Arabidopsis thaliana: one gene and its partner. The protein of the gene in region 2 purifies or fractionates together with the protein of the main gene of each other region. This does not show direct contact. Each region holds a gene or a part of one and is shown on either strand. Other genes may lie near its edges.

What was found.
Region 1: the proteins of AT4G17590 (region 2) and AT3G26480 fractionate together in Arabidopsis thaliana (co-fractionation; one large-scale study listed by BioGRID). This does not show direct contact.

Annotation. Positions count from the first base shown.
Region 1 is NC_003074.8:9,689,212-9,692,966, forward strand, and holds the start of AT3G26480 (Transducin family protein / WD-40 repeat family protein), read right to left. Parts: upstream 1,756-3,755; 5' UTR 1,617-1,755; coding exon 1,497-1,616; intron 1,408-1,496; coding exon 1,231-1,407; intron 1,141-1,230; coding exon 994-1,140; intron 921-993; coding exon 575-920; intron 450-574; coding exon 331-449; intron 251-330; coding exon 173-250; intron 51-172; coding exon 1-50.
Region 2 is NC_003075.7:9,800,643-9,804,397, forward strand, and holds AT4G17590 (NOL1/NOP2/sun family protein), read right to left. Parts: upstream 1,950-3,755; coding exon 1,931-1,949; intron 1,846-1,930; coding exon 1,771-1,845; intron 1,661-1,770; coding exon 1,479-1,660; intron 1,396-1,478; coding exon 1,327-1,395; intron 1,250-1,326; coding exon 1,172-1,249; intron 469-1,171; coding exon 367-468; intron 282-366; coding exon 201-281; downstream 1-200. Other genes in the region: LIL3:1 (Chlorophyll A-B binding family protein), read left to right, coding at 3,117-3,510, 3,609-3,746.

The sequences.
Region 1 (3,755 bases), on a different chromosome or scaffold from region 2:
TCCCGCGTTTTGACGTAGCATATAAACCCGTGACGCTCTGGTGTCGGAGGCTATTACATAGTAAAGAACACAATATGCATGTGAAGTTAACTCCAACAGAAACGGTATACAATATGAGCATGCTTAAACCAACAATAACAAGGAAAAATTTCGGATGATAGTAAGAACGAACCTTGATTCCAGATATCGTTCTCAATATCTCCATGGAAGGCATTTTAAGAAGATGAATTTGATTATCTGCACAAATCACCTGAAAATTCTTGATCTTAGTAGAGTTAATGAAACACTTCATTTGCTTTCTACGGTTGTTGTAAACGGAAAAACTCTTACAGAAGAAAGAGTTGAATCTGAAGAGAAGATGAAATACAACAAGGGAGATCCAATCTTTGGCAAAAGTTGCTTCTTCCCTGTACCTAGCTCCCAAACAACAAAATCACCTGCCTTTACCCCTAAAAGAGTCACAAGCAAAGGAAATATAGCATAAGAACTCAATATATATATATATAAGAAACATGAATTCCTTATCAACACACAGAGATACAGTCACTATGATGAAAAAATAACTCAGACTCACCAGAATACAAAAGTGCTCCATCTGAAGAGAAATTAAGGACGGTTACTTCAGCGCTGTGCCAGTTGAAAGTAGTGCAAGATTCAGTATCATCTTCAGTTTTCACTGAAGTAAATTCTCCAATACCATTATCCTTCCAAATTAACACTCTTCCTGTTACATCACCGGCTGCTAATATTCTCTGATTGGGATGGAAAGCAAAAACAGTAATCAACTCTGTATGATGTAATGTCGTCTCCTTTGGCATGAGGTGCTCTGATGCCACATTCCATATATGTATACTGCAGTTATGACAGACGCCGAAAAACTCTCCAGAGGGACTTAAAACAATAGGTTTTGGTTCTTCCATCTGCACATTAACAAAAATGATTATAGAATCAAACATGAGGCTAATCGAAAAATGGTTAATCCACAAATCTGACCTCTTTCAAAGTGTCTCCACTATGAAGAGGGTCTTGAGTGAGATCATATCTCCGGATTTGTCCAAACAAATCTTTGGACACACTTGAATAGTCCTCAACCGAAACATAAGCAATCACGGAATGTGACACTTGAGCTGGAATCATCACCTACAAAGTCCCAACAGACACTTAGAAAAGGGCAATTGAAAGTTATCAAATTTTTGTTTATAAGCTGCAAAGTATGGAACTTTAACAGACCAGAGAGTGAATTGGAAGGTGGGTATCAAATATCTTCAAAAGCTTCGGCGCAGAGAACTCCCAAATCCGAATTTTCCCATCGAGCGACGAAGTCCAACAGTAACTGACGGTTTCGTCGGAAGACGGATCAACAATCACAGACGTCACAGGCGCTGTATGATCCTCGAGTGAAGTAATCTTAAAAACACACACACGCATACGCTAATGAGAGAAGAAGATTAGAGGGAAACCCTAAAAGGAAGGATGCTCGAGTCGAGAGATAAAACCTTTAAGCCAGTGGCGACGCTGTAAACAGAGACGGTGTTGGCTGTGCATAAAAGAAGCTTCTTTGCGTCTTTCGAAAACGCCGGAGCGGAAGTAATGTTGTTTCTTCCGCCGCGAATCATTTTCCTTCAACTCACGGAGATTCTGAGAAGACGCAAACATCTTACTCGGCGATTAAAAATTAGATTTTGCGACGTTTTTCCGACGAAATATTACAATGTACCCAGTTTTCGAGGAAATTATGTCTGTGACCAAATTGCGACTAGTACTTAGTACTATATGCTTGTACTTGTAGTTTCACTTTCTTCGTAACACCTGGCTCTGTGATGACTCCTCTCATTCTCTTCCTCCATGTTTGGGTTTCGCTTCTTGGACTAGGCCTTGACCTTGTTGGGCCTCGGCCTGTTTGTTTATTTTTTCTGTTTTATCTTTAATAAAATGAGACGGCAAGAAAATAACTTACATAATTTTTCAAGATCTTAAGTATTTTGTATTTTCTTAATTTATGTGAAAAACCCTGTGGATAAACAAAATATAATGTATAGTCCAATAATTGGAAATTTTGTAGTTAACAAACTCACTTCGTTTTAACAAAATATGGATGGATGATTCAGAGGCATAGTATGCGACATTAACTGTATTACAATGGTCGACAATGACTTTGATTTTTGAGGTCGTCCAATAAATACTAAAATGTATGGGTATGATTTTAGGTTGACCAATAAACTTCGATATCCATCGTTAATTCCATGAATGTTTTAAAAAACTGAAGTTGCTTCTATTATATATAAGTTAATCTATTTTATAATTTTATTTTATGACAGTTTAGCTATAATTTCTTTTCAAAAACATTTATGTTCTTAATTTATCAATCTATCACTTTCCTCGTCAACATATTACTTTTTTTATAAATCTTTTGCATATGACTAGCTTATCGGAAAATCGTTCATATAGATAGCGACATAACTAAAATAAAATTAGAAAGATGATATTGTTTTGATATAGTGTTTGTTTGTCTTGTTTCAAAAGACTATGCAATCAACTAGTTGTGCGTCTTGTGGATCTAACAGTTTTAAAAATGTTTAGGGTCAATAGTTTAATCAGACTTGGAACGGTAGTTTATACCTTTAGATACAATATTATCTAAGGTTAATTTATGTCATGGAAAAGTTATATATAGACAAAATGTTCAAAAAATTTAGGATTTATTGTGAAAAAACGAGAAATGGTAGATGATTCATATACATATCAACTTATTCCAAAGTAAAAAGTTTAAGAAATAAGAAAAATAAAAATTGTAGCGTAACAAACATTGACATATGGCTCGTTGGAAACAAACTAAATGTAATAATTATAGTTGTTCATCAAACTATTCGCATACAACCATCATGAACGATGACTAAAAATGGGAGACAAAGTGGGACTTTTGTAAATCCTACGTTTAATGAATTAGAATGTTGAATTATTTTTTCAGATTTTTATACATATGAATTGTTGCTTTCAGTGTTCTCTTAACCAATGAAAGTAAAGATGCTCAAAGGCTAAATATAAAGAAGATAAATTTCATTTCTCTTGATTATTCTCTTTAGGGTTTAAGATTACATCATGTTTCCTTTCATAGGCATTATAATCTTAGTGACACTAGGGTTTTCACTGACACATGTCAGGTCTCTATTGATCCTAGACAGTCAAAACAGTTTTGTAAAACCACTCCTTCTTTTCCAGCACAGCTCCTTGTTTTTGTCCTTTGATCCAATCTTGATGTACTTTTGGTTTTGTCTTCTTTTGCAGGAGATGACCGTTGGAGCTGAGAGTTGTTTAGGGTCTGCGCTTGGGCCTGTTGTTTATTGGGCTTGAGGTTTGCTGCATTCTCAATTTGGCCCAATCTCAGAACCTTCTTGATAATGTCATCTGAAGAATTTACCTTTACAGATTCCTCTGCTTCGTGTCCGATCACAGCTCTGATCTGGTTCTTCTCTTCACCAATCCGAGTTGTTGTCTCAACACAAGATGCATTCTCTCTAATAGCCCCCCGCAAACTCGGCGTAGGTGGAACATCGACGCCTAGTTTGTAACGAAGATCGCAGAACGGCTTGATGGGGAGAGATTTGGTGAAGATGTCCGCGATCTGTTGATGACCAGGTATGTGCTTCACAATCAGAGCTCCAAGTGCTACTCTCTCTCGAACATAATGATAGTGTAGCTGAAAGTGTTTACTTCTTTTGTGGAAAGCTGGATTCGCAGAGAGATACACGGAGGAG
Region 2 (3,755 bases):
ATCTAGAGGAAGAAAATATGCATACTTACCGTTGACCAGTTTTGTGGCAGGAATACCTGAAATCTTCGGTCCAATCCTCAGTCCAAAAGTTGTTGAGCAAGATACATTTTGCGAGTCTTAAAGAAAATAAGACTCATCATAACAATGCATAACCTAATAAATTTCCTAAACACTTGAACAATGGATAACCAAGTTTACCTTTAAAGTATTCTTCGTATATATGTAGACCTCAGCTTTTCAAACGCCTTTATTAGTTTAACGAGTTCTGCAAGACTAAACGTCTGACAAGAAATTTCAGTTGATGATAAATGAGTAATTAGCAACAGAGATAGGAATGTCATGGAGAATAAAGTCAGAGAAAATCACTGCCGCCAAAGTTCTAATAAGAAACCTATTGTACCCATAAAGAGAAGCAATATCATCTTTAAGCTGGTCAACATAATCAGACATGTGAACGCCTTCTACTATCTATAATTATATCCGACACTCATATTCAAGATTGGTAAAGACACTCATATTCAAGATTGGTAAAGAAGTTGATGTGAGCGTATCTCGTACAATTAAGTTGTATAAGATGCTATTATAATAACCGATTGTGACAAATCTACATTTTTTAATCCGAAATTCACTAAGATTAACAAGTACTAAGTTTAGAGTCTAATATAATAGCATTTTTCATCATAACACATGATACAAATCATACTTGAATATCAACTTGATGTACCCTTTGGTCATCATGTTATATTATAACAAATACAATGCATTTTATGCTTAGGCATCAAAATAAAAAGGCATACTTTAGAATTTATTTTTAGGCTTTTATTTTTTAAGAAAAATATTATAGGTCTTTTTTATAAATTCATTTTGTTAATCTTTATTTTCTCCATATATTGTGGTATTTAAAATTTTAGATTAATAAAAAAATTAATTAAATAATTTGTTAATGAATTTAGTTTAGTAAATTTTTGGTTTTTTTTAAAAAGTTAAACCTTAAATTTCTTGCAAAATGGAAGATATTCTAAGGTGTACATTGCTTAGATTTGGATTACAAAATTTTAAAAAAAAAGTTTGCTTAATTAATCAGATAAATCTGTTGGCTTTGCTGTCAAATGAGATAATTATGGTTAAAAACATAACCTCTCATTAATTGTTAAAGCCAAGCAAGTTTTACCTTTTGCAAAACACCAAAGCGTTGTATGTCAGCTTCTTCGTTAATGGACATTTTGATCGATCCAAATTCTGATATTAGCTGCATAGATAGAAGTTAGCATTTGAGTTAAAACCTGACAATTCAGTTAAAACATGACAGACGAGTTGAATTTTTACTCCAGTTCTAGTTGAAGGCGCATTCACCAACACCATATCCTTTGAGTTTATATGGAAAACCCTAGATAGCTGAACGGGAAGGAATAATAGAAAATTATTTCAGAACTTTTATTACCCTTAATATCATCAATAGTGAGGTTCAAGAAGCTAACCTTTGTATTGATATTGTAATTGGAAACAACTGTATTTGTAATCCCCATTCGATGGAGATTGGCATAAAGTGAACCAAGCAAGTGTTCAGTAGACGCATTAGCAAATATTATACCTTTTATTACCATAAAGCGCCCAGACAGATGTTCAGGAGTTTCCCCAATGGGAAGACTTTCAGGTTCATCTTCAATGACAAGTCCATGCTACAAGCAGTTTTGAAAGAATCAAGTACATGTATGTATGAACAACATAATACTTGTTGTGAATCTAGAGGAAGAAAATTTGCATACTTACCGTTGACCAGTTCTGTAGCAGGCATACGTGAAATCCTCGGTCCAAAAGCTGTTGAGAAAGATATATTCTCCGAGTCTTAAGCAAAAAAACAAAACTCATCATAAAAATGCATAATCTCAAAACTTTACTAAACAATTGAACAATGGATAACCAAATTTACCTTTAGAGTGTTCGTCCATATATATGTCGGCATCGGCTCCTCAAACGCCTTGATTAGTTTAAAGAGTTCTCCAGAGTCATATTCAAAATGCCTTGATTATGCGACGCCTTGATTATCCGACACTCATATTCAAGATTGGTAAAGAACTGAAAGTGAGCTTATCTCGTACAATTAAGTTGTATAAGATGCTATTGTAACAACCGGTTGTGACAAATCTACATTTATAATCCGGAATTCACTAAGATTGTCTTAACAAGTACTAAGTTTAGAGTCTAATATATAATAGCACTTTTCATCATAACACATGATACAAATCATACTTGAAAATCAACTTCATATATCCTTTGGTCATCGTGTTGCATTATAACAAATACAATGCATTTATGTATAATAAATCAAGCCCGACATTCCACACAATCAAGTGAAGTCATGGCTTAGGGCATCAAGGTAAAAAACATATTTTAGAATTCATTTTTTAGGCTTTTTATGTTTTAAAAGAAATATTATGTTTTCTTTACAAATTTATTTTTGTTGAGCTTTCTTTTCACCATACTTTATGGGATTCAAAATTTTAAATTAATTAAAAATTTCTTCAATCTTCTTTGGCTTCACAAAGCGTGTAAATAATAGTATAGCTCATTACCTCTCAACCTCTAATTGTATTCATGGAGATTTTTATTCTTAATCAGGTCGTCAACCACCTTGGTTACAAAAACTACTTTGTAAAATCTCAATTGGTTAATATAATTCAGTTTGCAGAAAAAAAAATTAATTAAAATTTTAATTAAATATATTATTAATGAATTTAGTTTAGTACAATTTTTCCTTTTAAAAAGTTAAACCTTAAATTGTTTGTAAAATGGAAAATATTGTAAGGTACATTGCTTAGTTGAATACAAAATAATAATAAAAACTTTGCTTGATTAATCAGGTAAATGTGTTGACTTTCTTTGTTTGATACCCTCATAACAACACCAAAATACTGGGATGGGCTTTTAATACGAGCCCATGAAGATAACAGTCACTTTTTTGTTTCTGTATGTGTAGAGGGAAAAAAAACACGTTACGTAGTCTCAATTTGGGAGAAAGAAACGACATACATGTTACATCTTTAAACGATAACAAGTCTATTTAGAACCACTAGTTGTGATTTGTGAAACTCTGAAGTAAAGAAGAAACCACAACAATGGCGTTGTTCTCCCCGCCAATCTCTTCTTCATCTCTTCAAAATCCCAATTTCATTCCCAAATTTTCATTCTCCCTCCTCTCCAGTAACCGCTTCTCTCTCCTCTCCGTCACTCGAGCTTCCTCCGACAGTGGATCAACCTCTCCCACCGCCGCCGTCTCCGTGGAGGCTCCTGAGCCCGTGGAAGTGATAGTTAAAGAGCCTCCGCAATCAACACCGGCGGTTAAAAAGGAAGAAACCGCCACCGCTAAAAATGTCGCCGTCGAAGGTGAAGAGATGAAAACAACGGAGAGTGTTGTCAAATTCCAGGATGCGAGATGGATTAATGGAACTTGGGATCTGAAACAGTTCGAGAAAGATGGAAAAACCGATTGGGATTCTGTAATCGTTGCTGGTTAGATTAGAATTAGATCCTCGTTAAGTTTTTTTGCTCTGTTACTTTGGTGAAAATTCGAAATTTGAATTTGATGTTTAATGTGTTTTGATTTGAAGAGGCAAAGAGAAGAAAATGGCTAGAAGAGAATCCAGAAACAACGAGTAACGACGAACCAGTGCTTTTCGATACATCGATTATTCCATGGTGGGCTTGGATTAAGAGATACCACTTACCTGAAGCTGAACTCTTAAATGGTATTTGTT